Linked DNA regions of Drosophila melanogaster. The protein of the gene in region 1 interacts with the protein of each later gene in a pairwise test. Each region holds a gene or a part of one and is shown on either strand. Other genes may lie near its edges. The genes, in order: PNUTS and Spx.

Evidence for each region.
Region 2: the proteins of PNUTS (region 1) and Spx interact in a two-hybrid assay, tested with the Drosophila melanogaster proteins (one large-scale study listed by BioGRID).

Annotation. Positions count from the first base shown.
Region 1 is NT_033779.5:868,420-876,691, reverse strand, and holds the start of PNUTS (phosphatase 1 nuclear targeting subunit), read right to left. Parts: upstream 6,228-8,272; 5' UTR 6,140-6,227; exon of another isoform or gene 5,352-6,139; 5' UTR 5,119-5,351; coding exon 5,116-5,118; intron 5,052-5,115; coding exon 4,954-5,051; intron 4,887-4,953; coding exon 4,612-4,886; intron 4,485-4,611; coding exon 3,153-4,484; coding exon of another isoform or gene 2,974-3,152; exon of another isoform or gene 2,543-2,973; intron 1,655-2,542; coding exon 1-1,654. Other genes in the region: dbe (dribble), read left to right, coding at 6,916-7,953.
Region 2 is NC_004354.4:6,253,656-6,258,212, forward strand, and holds Spx (spliceosomal protein on the X), read left to right. Parts: upstream 1-2,166; 5' UTR 2,167-2,255; coding exon 2,256-2,289; intron 2,290-2,363; coding exon 2,364-2,447; intron 2,448-2,505; coding exon 2,506-3,431; 3' UTR 3,432-3,941; downstream 3,942-4,557. Other genes in the region: Rbcn-3A (Rabconnectin-3A), read right to left, coding at 1,607-1,693.

The DNA.
Region 1 (8,272 bases):
ATGTTGCAGTGTCCTCGCATGAACTGCTTGCAGACGCCGGTGTTGCCATTGCCTCCTCCACCTCCTCGATTGGGGCCAGATCCTGCTGAGCGCCAGTTGCCGCCGGAGTTCTCCTGGAAGTTGTTGCCCCCGCTGCGCCAGATGCCGCCGCCGTTGTTTTTGTTCCTGTTGTTGTTGTTGTTGTTATTCCTAGGTCCGCCCATCATCAGTCCTGGCCCCATTCCATTGGGCGGCCCGTTCATCATGGGTCCATTGGGTGGGCCGTTCATCATGGGGCCGTTGGGTCCCATCACTGGACCATTGGGTCCCATTACCGGTCCCGGACCTGGTCCATTCATCATCATGGGCGGGTACTGATTGAATCCAGGTGGTGGGCCGCTTCCGAATGGAGACACTGGACTTCCAAACTGATTGCCCATAAAGTTTTGCGGTGGCATGTTGTTCATGTTCATATTGCTCATATCCATTCCGGGGCCACCGGGTCCGTTCATCATGGGCGGTACACCGGGCGGCCCACCTACCGGACCCATTTGGTTCTGCCAGATTTGCGGCGTTCCGTTGGGCACTTGATTTGGCATCATGTTTGGTCCGGGTGGCATTCCCGTGGGAGCAGGCATGCCTCCCATGAACGGATCGAATGGATTTTGCATTAGGTTCGGTCCAGCTCCCAGTCCGGTCAACATATTGTCATTGAAGCCCATGTCCGATCCGCTGATATTTGCTCCGACTCCCGAGCTAGGCGCGTATTTCTTGGGCTCCGGCCACGCCAAGGCACTGTAGTCGTTGACAGCATCCGGATTCCCCGTCAGGTCATCCATGGGTATCACGGGAATGTCATGAGCAAAATGCGGTTCCAGTTCCGCCTCCGCAGGACTGTCGGGAATCATGTCGGGCGAGAAGTACAGGGCTCTTAGAGTGGTGGCCTCCCTGTCCATCTGCACCTGGCGCTGCTTGGAGAGGTTTCCGTTCGGGTGGTCGGGCACATTATCGACTTCGAGTAGTGGCCGCCACTCCATTTGCGGCTCCATGGTATCGTCGAATCCACGCCGAGCAATGGTCAGCGCGTCCCGCTCGCTGAATCGCTCCATGTTCTTCATTTCCAGGAAGGTCTGCTTCATCACATTTACGCGCTCTGAGCGATCGACCTCGAAGTATCGTATCTGGGTGAGCTTTTCCTCTGACTGCCAGGTTAGCTTCTTTTTCGGGCCCTTGCGGCGGTGCAGCGTGAGCACTCCCGGTGGTCCATCGGGTCCACAGCCAGGTCCAGGCTTCTTGGGCTCCTCGGGAAGATCTTCAGCGTTGTCAGAGGTGTTACCCGCTTCTCCGCCTTCTCCGCCTGCCGCAGCCTTCGCCTTCTGCACCTTTTGCTCGATGTCCTCCTTGACCCTCTTAAGGGGAATGTCGTCGTCATCGGCATCCGTGTCCTTGCCAGGTGACGAGGAGCGCGCATCATCGTTTTCCTTGCTGCTGTCGTCCGACTTCTCCTCGCTCTTCGACTCGTCCAGAGTATCCTGGTAGAACTTAAGCGGCGCCAGTGGCGCGTCCTTGTCCGTGGGCGATGTTGCAGACGTACGCTTGCGCTTCACCACCTTTTTGGGTTCGATGGAGGCGGCCAGGGCGTCCGAGAACAGGTTGGTCTCCACCAGGGTTTGAACTGGAAAAATGAGGGTAAAGTAAGTAATCGCTCCAGTAATTGGTTTAGTTAAGAAAATGTTTAAGTGGCCTTCGTTGAATGGCCCATTGGCTTTGGTGGATTTTGCTTTTGCTGGAAATTGCTAGAAGTAAAAAAGTTATGGAAAGAAACAATCTGATCTGGACACACACATTTGTTGTGTTTATGATTGATTGATTAAGTTTACCCACATTTCGATAATTAATGAAATGGGAGTCTCTCTACTGGAATAAGCACCGAATATATACCAAAACCTAGAACTACTAAACAATTCATGAATTTTCCCCAAAAGTTCTTTAAAAGTTTTGGCTTGCTCGACTTTATTCGGTATAATTTCATATATAAATGTCAAAATGTAATTATTCGACTTTTTTTTATTTAACTAGTTTTTCAACACAAATAGTGTTTAATCATCATAATTAAAATAGTTATAAGCTCTCATTGCGATTGAAACTTGAGAAGTACGCTTATTAAAAGTGTATTGCTAAGACTACTAGTTATACGCAATAGTTAAACCTCTTTAAACTTTGATGCTTTTAGTATATTTATGTCAGCACATCGATAAGTGTCATTGGGTTTCCTCAGCACTAATCTACCCAAGGAACCCGACACTGCGATCAGATTACGCGCACCGTGCAGCTTACTGCCAAGGTGACGCATCCGCTGATGACGCACTACGACGAGGATGTGGGTAAACTAGGGTTGCCTGCTCTAGCGAGGCGAACAATTGTGGAGACCCTCGGTGACGCACGACAGCAAAATCGAGGCCAAAGCAAAGCAGCTGGGACTCAAGCCCACGGTGGTGATCGAACCACCTACCAACTTATAGAACCGCCAGCTTAAGTCAATATTTTCGTTTTCGTTTCTTTTGCGCTCAATGCATTTTTTTATTCAATAGAAAAATCGTATTTTTCTAGAGGAAACCGTATTTTATTTGTAAGTCTTTAAGGTGGGCTGCTCGCCAAGTGAATCTACATACCTTATAGCTAAGCTAAGCTAAATACGTTCAAGATTTGAGGTTTGAATACTTAACATCAGGCAGCGACAACGACGACGACGACGGCGGCGGCGGCATCGTCTGTGCCTCAGATTTCGTTTTCGTTCGGTCTCAGCGCATGCGCAGTGCCCAGATTTCGGGATTCAACTCCATTCAACTTCATCCGCCGTCATCCGGAATTGAGGTCATAGACTCACACTCGGGCAGCTTGCAGTTCAAACTCGATCCGGGGATAACACCGCCACGATTGATACATTATAATGCAAAGTACCCACACTAAAAGGCCCCACTTCTGCTCTACAATTTAAGACCCGCCCCAAGCAAAATTAAACACCTTGAGAATGGAATGGAGATCAACAAATAATACGGCGGAGTTCGACATTCGACTCCGATCGAAAACAAAAGCAAAAGCCACCAAAGTTCTTGGGCTGTGGAATAAAATAGAGAAGAGCATTAATAGTGATTCTAGCATCTGTTGCTTACTCTTTTTGGGCGCTATCAGCTTGGCGGCTCCGGGCCTCTCCACATGTCCCGCGACGTTGTTGATGTCGATCTTGGCCTTCTTGTCGGTGGACAAATCCCTGGGTGGCGGCGATGGTCGCTTCAGTGAAGACGGGACTGCCATTAAAGCGGGTGAAGCGGCAACCGCCGACGATGTGGGCTTCTTTAGGCCCTTGCGAGATGGGGGAGGCGGAGCCTCTTCCGTCAGGCCATGCGATCTGAATTTGGACTGGTACGTCTTTACAGTGGCCGTCTTTTCGGTGTCCCGGCGAATTTCTATCGAAATGGAGGCCTTGCGGGACATGATAGGAATCGATCTGGGCTTCTGTGCGTCGCTCTCCTTTGCCGAAGCTGTAGGAGATGTACCTGCAGCATTTGATGCTGCCACAGCTGGCGGAGGCATTAGCTTGTTGTCCTTGTCCTTGTCCTGCCTCGAGGATGAGGATGATGACGAAGTTGACGACGACGACTTGCGATCTTTGGACGAACTAGAACCAGAGCTGCTCGACGACGACGACGACGACGACGAGGAGGACTTTGAGGACTTGTGTTTATTCGAGGAAGAAGAAGACGAACCGCTGCTGCGCTCCCGGTCCTTGCTCGAGCTGGAGGAGCCGGAACTTGAGCGAGCCTTGTCTTTATCGCGGTATTTATCGCTAGAACTGCGATGGGAAGAGGAAGAAGATGAGGAGCTCTTGGAAGAACTGCTCTTCGAAGAGGAGGATGACGAGGAAGAGGACGACTTATGGCTAGATGAGGAGGACCTATGACTTGAACTTTCCTTCTTTCTATCCTTCTCGCGCTCCTTCTCGGACCGTTTACTTTTGTCGCTCTTTGAGCTCTTATGCTTCTTATTATCCACGTCCTCCCCAGACTTAACCTCCGCCGCGGAGCTACTATCATCTAACCCGGACTTTTTCCCCAGACTAGCATCTGCTAATAAGTGGGTTGCGGAGGAGCCCTTTTCCAGATGTTCCACCTCGTTGTCTTTCGATTGTGTGCCAGAATCCGTTTCGTCGCCACCATCTGGGTTGTCCAACAAAGGCTTCCACTTGATGGTAATGCTGTTGGAATTGCTACTGTTGGCCGCCGAGGTGATGGTATACGTCACAGGTGCTCCGGCGCTATCAGTGCTGTCTGAAGAAGAGGCAGAGTCCGGAACTGAAGCGGAGCCAGCTCCAGAAACGGATGCAGGAACCTGAGAGGCAGTAGTGGCTGCAATATGTGGCGCAGCACCTTGGATCGTCATGCTTGTGTTTTCCGTCACAATCTTCAGCCACTGCTCTACCAAACGCTTGGCTAGAATGCGTACACCTGGAAAACGGGGTCGAGAAAAGCCAATTAGTAATCCCTAGGTAATTAAAAGCATAAAGGACAGCCCAAAACATGACCCAAAAACACTAATCTACGACTAGAGTAAGACTTATCAAAGAAAACTTACCTTCGTTGCCGCCATCCTTGCACAGCCCCTTGACCAGAATAGGTGCTGAGTTTATCTTGAGGCGATTGACATCCACGGGAGAAAGGAGCAGCAGTTCCAGGATCTCCTGTACCAGCGGCCAGTTCATGGCCCTGATGGCATCATTTAACCAGGTGTAGACCAGCGACCAACCGCCCACCGCCATAAAGTCGCCCAATAGTTCCGTCTTTGTGGATTTCAGAATTTGTACATACACACATTTCGAGACGAGTTTTTTTGAATACTTGGCCATCAAACTGTGGGCGAAAAACTTGATATTAGCAAACGCCGATAGGTGTCGCTGCTGACAAGTGGTGAACTTACCCCGAAATGCGTTTCACCTCCACTGCACTTAAAATTCCACCATTATTGTCCAAAAGCACCCGCAGGCACCTCAGCAATTGCAGTGGAACTATACGAGGCTGTCGAATAAAAACATTAAATAAAGCACAACTGTTGTTGCATTTCCTAGCCAATATAACTCACCATTTTCTTTGTTAGTCGTGCGAAAGAAGAAAATTTATCTGGCAACGCTAACTCCCTATAGCCGTCTCTCTTCCACACTTGTAGGTGTGACCATACGCAACGTGTGCGCGTGTGTTGGATCGTGCGTGTGTGCACCGACACTCGCTTTTGTTGGTATGGGTGTCTTAATAGATACTAAATTTCCACTGATTACGTAATTCCATAAGAATTCGCTTTTTCAAGGACTGCAATAGTATCTAAAATAGGAGAAAACACCAGTCTGAGAACAAATTTAGCAGGATAAAATTTTGCTATATCCCTACAATTCACTTTTAAGACGAGTATTAAATAAATTCCAGCAGCAGCGCCAAAATATGATAAATGCTGTTATTTTATTGTCTCAACTGGCAGTAAACCAATAATCCCTCCGCTTGAATGTTTTGTTTTTTGTTTTGGAGCTGCAGAAAACGTGTTTTACGCGTTGCGATTTTTTCAGGCACTGATGAAATTCGGACGTGTGCTCGCGGCTATCGGTAATCGATAAGCCAGTGCAGCCCTGAAGGCTGTCCACTCTCAGAAAACCGAAAATTATATATTACGACGTATTGGTATTGATACGAAAACATGCGTTCGTCTGAACGTTTGTAGCACAAATGTCTCTCTACCTCGTTTTTGGTTACAACCCAAATTTGACTTTAGGTACAAGCAAAATGTGAAAGTTACTTAGTTTTTCTGTTAAAGCAGGTTGGCAGCGCCTTGCCACGCACACAACAATGACGCCATTTTGATTTTCACAATTTTTCACAAAGGCGTAATTAAATCCGCAGCCAAGGGAAATGCTAGAAAATTGTCTTTTAATAGCAACTTCAACAATATCGGCCACTTTATATTGATTTTTCTTTGTTTAATCCTAATTATCGGCTTTCGTTCACGTCCACGCCCCAAAATTGGACATGCGGTTAGGTCCGCACACTTAGGTCGAGCAAATCGGTAATAAGCCTTCCAGAAAATATATATTAAATGTACAATTGTTTATCGGCCTTACAATTTGTTAAATATTTAATTGGCGACGATTTTTCTATCTCTCCGAAAACTCCTGCGTGCGCTTTGCTTAGGCTCACAAAATCGTGTGACCTTTCCTTGCTTGAAAATAAAAGTTTGTTTAGAAAATACCAAAACGCATAGTCGGAATATGGTAATCTAATTAATACCCCTATTTTGAAAGTACAAACAATAATTATTTACTTAAAAACACTTTTAATATAAATGGATTTAGTTTCCCGTTAACAGTTTCAAAAACTATCCACGGTGGATAATAGCGAATGCTATAAAAAGAAATTTATTGAATTAAGATTTTAATTCATCTTAATTATTCTAACACATATAATGGCATAAGTTATAGATACCCTGAGCTCTTTTTCAATTAAATAAAATTTGTGAAGGTGTCAGGGCTAAATCATGTATTGTTTGACTTATTTCTTATATTTTAGATATTCAGAATTGCATATTTTATTAGTATTGATGTACCCAATATCCTTAATATTTGAGTTACATTGGAATCGCAATTTTGTTAAGGCATTTATCTGGCACACGATCAAATATAATTGTATTTGAATATATATTTTAAAACATTCTCAATCGAAAAATTTATTTTATAATCAAGATAAAAATAAACCTTTAAATAGGTAATCTATCAATAATATTAACCAACCAGTTTTCCCTGATATGGTCACACGCATTTACCGCTGATCTGGCAGCCTGGCCAAAACAAGCGTGCAAGAATCTTACCTGTAGAATTAGCTTCTGAAAACTCGAGTAACGATGAGCGAAAGTGAAGCGGAGGAGACCAAAATCAGCACCGAGCCGGTGGACAATGCGTGGTCCATGAAGATCCCTGCCTTCAGGCAGGAGGACAACCCGCATGGGATGGTGGAGGAGAGCTCCTTCGCCACGCTGTTTCCCAAATATCGGGAGCGCTATCTTAAGGAGGTTTGGCCTCTGGTGGAGCAGTGCTTGGCGGAGCACCACCTGAAGGCGGAGCTAGATTTGATGGAGGGGAGCATGGTGGTGAAGACCAGTCGCAAGACCTGGGATCCCTACATCATCATCAAGGCGCGGGATATGATCAAGCTGATGGCCAGAAGTGTTCCCTTCGAGCAGGCCAAGCGGGTCCTGCAGGACGACATTGGGTGTGACATCATCAAAATCGGAAACCTTGTGCACAAGAAGGAGAAGTTCGTGAAGCGGCGACAGCGTTTGATCGGACCTAACGGCGCCACCCTTAAGTCCATTGAACTGCTCACCGATTGCTACGTTTTGGTTCAAGGAAACACAGTCTCCGCCTTGGGTCCTTACAAGGGCCTTCAGCAGGTGCGGGATATAGTCCTGGAGACCATGAACAATGTGCACCCCATATACAACATTAAGGCTCTGATGATCAAGCGGGAGCTGATGAAGGATCCGCGTCTGGCCAACGAGGACTGGTCCCGATTCCTGCCCAAGTTCAAGAACAAAAACATTAGCAAACGCAAGCAGCCGAAGGTCAAGAAGCAAAAGAAGGAGTACACCCCATTCCCGCCCAGCCAGCCGGAGAGCAAGGTGGACAAGCAGCTGGCCAGCGGAGAGTACTTCCTCAACCAGGAGCAGAAGCAAGCGAAGCGCAACCAGGAGCGCACCGAAAAGCAGAAGGAGGCGGCCAAGCGCCAGGACGAACGCCGAAACAAGGACTTTGTCCCGCCCACGGAGGAGTCAGCTGCTTCAAGTCGGAAGAAGGAGGATGGCTCCTCCTCCAGCAAGGTGGACGTGAAGGCCCTGAAGGCCAAGCTGATCAAGGCCAACAAGAAGGCGAGGAGCAGCTGATAGTTTTCCTAGTTTTAATTAGTAGTAGGACCTATTCAATAAAAATTGATTTTCTGAGCAACGTGTAAATAGAAATCTTAAGGTTTACTAATGGGATGAAAAGTTTGTGGGGACGAACTCGTATTAATTCTAGTTGTTTTTAAAAGCCAATCTCCAAAAATGCAATGGATACATAATGCTAATTCAGCATATAACATGCTGAATACCTTATACTTGTAATAAAATTAAATTAAATACTTATACAATAATTTTGATTCTATTGCGGTGCCCGCTAGTGTAGAGAGAGATCTCTTTCTCTCCCTCTCTCTCTCTGTCGCAC
Region 2 (4,557 bases), on another chromosome or scaffold:
ATACTTTTCAATGGAGGGTTTTCCGAACTTTTCGCTTACCAACCCATTAGTGTTCCCGCGGATAAGATTACTTTATATAAAACTTTGTTACCTGCTGAAAATAAACAGTGATTTTTTTACGGTATCCTATTGTAGTATTGCTATACTATTAAAATTTGACTTTAAATGCGGTTTTAATGAGTTTATTATTTTTGGTTTCCCCTTCCAAACGCTAGGTGGCGCCAGGGGAGTGTGTTCGTGCCGATCATATACTAAATAAATATATGCATACACACATACATCCACACATATGCAAACACTCGAAATTAAACAAATTGAAATGATGGCAAATGATATGGCGCAAGGCGGTGGGCAGTGGGTGGGTGTTGGGTGGTTGGTGGTCGGTCTGTGAACGGGGGACTGTGTCAACGGCGGTGCTGATTACAGAATAGAATATAGTAGAATATAGAATATATATATAATGTACACATACGCCCCGTGGGGCCTCTCATTAGAATGGCAAAATGTGCACAGTAGTTAATTATGCTTCCTTGGGTTTTTGCAGGAAAACACAGACCTTGTTCTCTACATCGGATAAACATTCTGAGTAAACATATAGTACACATGTCTCAATGGGTGTAATGTTTATAAACTCGAAGTTGACATAGCGAAGTTTATAGTGAGCTCTTCAACTTTTTCCTGTTACCGTTAAAGGTTTTAGACACGAAAATGGCCAGATTGCTAAGAGTATTTGGTAGTATATAGTATAGGGATCGAATAAGGCACATTATAAATGCGTGCTCACGTTTTTTTATTATGGCCGTTTATAATTCCAATTTGCCATTGACGTGGGTTGGCGAAAGGGGTTGCGGGGCGGGGGGTGCTGCCATAGAGAAAGGGTTCGTGGGAAGGGGAAGGTGGGCAGCCTGCAAGCTGCGAAATTAGGGCATCAAAGGCCACCTGACCAATCGAAGGGTATACACACACACATACTCGCACTTATATATATATACATGCGTATATACTTTCAAGCACACACTCTCACTGCAACTGGCGCATGTGTGTGTGTGTGTGTGCGTGCGGCTTGTTTACTGCCAGCACTTGACCTTAAAAAAATAAAAATGTAATTAATTGCTGGCCAGGTATGTAAATGCAGGTGAAAACAAACATTGTGTTGTATTTGTTGTGCCACACAACATACACACACACACACTCGAGCTGCACACTTTGTTGTTATCGAATTTTTGCACAGCGCCAGCCAGCAAACACGAAAAGTTCTCTATCTCATCATTTGCATTTGATTTTTTAATTGACCACCAAGTGTGGCAAAAAAAAACGATATAAAATTCAACACACATTCACACACACCGCACACACGCACACCACACACACGCAAATATGTAAATAAAAACATTAAAGACGTGCTCCGATCGGTTCTTGTTGGAATGACGACGATGGTGATGATGATGCCCCGTTTCCAATTGGAAACGGTTCAACCTTTTGAACCAAGTGTGCGTGGGGGGGTTGGGGGGCGTGTCCGGCTGGTTGGGCCGATAATGGTGCACATTCCGCCACCGATTTTCACCCAATTCGATCCGGATTCGGATTGGGATGGCTCTGTGCTTACTGTAAATGGTATTCCTTCCACGGAGCCAATGGCGAAGCACCGGTCGCCTGCATTGCAAGCGCCGCTCAAAATCTGATGACAATTCATAATTTACACACAGTTGATTATCACATCACAGCGCACGGATATTGGGGTCTTGGTTCTTTGGTTTCTAGCACGAATTTTCCTTGCTTCTTGTAACAAACGACAACAAAGTGACATTACATAAAAATTAGAGTTGGGTTCTTGGCCAGCGCGGCCAATCGAACTATCGATATTAGGGATGGCACGGCATGGGAGGCGAAATATCGCCTGAGTAATTTAAATACGGTTACTCCAATTAACCGAAAAACTGTTTATCATTTAATTAAAATATTATTATTAAAATATTTCATTTTATTTTCAAAAAATAGAGGTGAATATTTTAACCTATTGAAATTATATTTAATTATTCTGCTTCGTCTATATTTAGTATTTTTTCTAATATCCGTTCGATTTGATTCGATTTCGATATCAATTTCGATTGCCAATAAAAACGAAATCGTGGAATATATATCGATTCATGGTATCGATAGGCTGTTTCGATATTCAGGGTTGTGTTGCGAGCATTTTTGCATGTTGAAAACGCCGAAAATTAGTTTTTGGTTTTGTTTATAAAAATAGCTCCGAAATGGCGGCAGGTCCAATTGCTGAACGCAACCAAGGTGGGTTTGACCTCCACTCCACATTTGCACCACTTGGGAGACGCTTTAACCCGCCTTTTCCGTTCCTTCCACAGATGCCACCATCTATGCCGGCGGTCTTGACGACAAGGTGTCGGAAACGCTGCTTTGGGAGCTGTTTGTCCAGGCAGGACCAGTGGGTAAGTCCCGGACACACATGTATAGTGCCTAGCAGCTCCCTAATCGTCATGCTTGCAGTGAACGTACACATGCCCAAGGATCGTGTCACCCAAATGCACCAGGGCTATGGATTCGTCGAGTTCCTCAGCGAGGAAGACGCCGACTATGGAATAAAGATCATGAACATGATCAAGCTTTACGGCAAGCCCATTCGCGTGAACAAGGCGTCGGCGCATCAGAAGAACCTGGACGTCGGCGCCAACATCTTCATTGGCAACCTAGACGTGGAAGTGGACGAGAAGCTGCTGTACGATACGTTCTCCGCCTTCGGCGTTATACTGCAGACGCCGAAGATCATGCGAGACCCAGAGACGGGCAAGTCTAAGAGCTTTGCGTTCATCAACTTTGCCAGCTTCGAGGCCAGCGATGCGGCCATGGACGCCATGAACGGCCAGTACCTGTGCAACCGTCCCATTTCCGTGTCCTATGCCTTCAAGAAGGATCACAAGGGCGAGCGTCACGGTTCGGCTGCGGAGCGCCTGTTGGCCGCCCAGAATCCATCGACCCATGCAGACCGGCCGCATCAATTGTTCGCCGATGCACCGGTGCAAACCATGATGCCCCAGATGCCGGGCCAGATCCCGGCCCAGATGCCGGGCCAGATGATGCCGCCACCCATGATGGCGCCGCCGCCGCCGGTGGTGCCCGTTTCGAATAACAATATGGGCATGCTAGCACCGCCGCCGCCCGTTCCCCAGCCTGCACCGTTCCCAGCTACGATACCGCCGCCTCCGTTGCCACCGATGACCGGCGGACAGCCGCCGCTGCCGCCAGCAATGGGCATTCCGCCGCCGCCTCGCATGATGCAACCAAATGCATGGGCACCGCCCGGCATGCCTGCTCCTCCGCCCAGACCACCGCCCACCAACTGGCGTCCGCCGCCCGTGCCCTTCCCACCCACGCCCTACGCACGGCCCTATCAACCCGACGGCTACCAGTACTAAGTCTAGCGTGTAGTGTATACCAATTTGGACGAGACGAGAAATAAACATCAATAGGATTCATCAATGAAGCCTGCTCTGGGATATGTTAAGATTTCCATTCTTCTTTCTAATATGCATTTAACAACCGGGAAACCACTGGGAGACATTTAGATCATCATTGTATTTCCATTTAGTAGTCGCAATACAATCTTCGAATTCTTACAAGACGAAATTAAATAACTTTGAATAGAATTTTGAAATGAACGAAATGATTTGATATAAATTGACTCTCGATTCTTGATTTTTTTTTAAACGGAACTATTTTCAATAAACATAAAACGTTTACATTAACAAGTCTGTAAGTTTAATTTGAATGGAACATACGAAGAAAGCGATAATTTTTTTTTGTAATTTAACTAAGTATTTTTAAAGGGCTCCCTCTAATTTAATGTCCAATCCTTTGAAGTTATGTATAGAAACTAGCTTGTAGTTCAAAATAAACTGAGGAATGATTTTCCATTTATTGAAATGAAACTAGGATTCTTTTTTAGCATTCCCAAAATGATGCCGTCCCGCTTTTTTTCGAAACACGTTTGTTTTTTGGTCTTGTAATTTGTTTAGCATAAATTTATTAATATGGGAAACATACAAGTACAGTATTTACAATAGTTTTGACTACTATTCATTTTTTACTCTTCGTCTATTGAATTCTTGCCTAAGCGATTTTGGTTTAGTCCCACTGTGCTAACTTCCATTTCGTTTGGTAAAATAACTTAACTTTAGCTTTACGTTTAAATGGTTATATTTAACGTTATTTTCTCCTTCGTCTCTTTGCTTTTGCTTTTGTTTTTTTTTTTTTTGGTTAAGCAAGACAAACAACAACAAAAAAAAAACTGTGAGGCATATAGTAATAGTAATAGTAATAGTAATAGTTTTAATCAATAACGATGTACAAGCGAATCGTTACGCATCAATTTTCTCGCATTTATTTAAATTTCTTTTGGTTTTCGATTTGTTTCTTTCTTTTTTGTTTACCTTAAAAAAGATGTATATATAAAAAAAAATAATAACATAAAAACATTCTGAACTGGTTTGGTTTTTTTGTATGCGTCTGTGTGCGTGAGTGTGTGTGGTGTGTGTGTTCGTG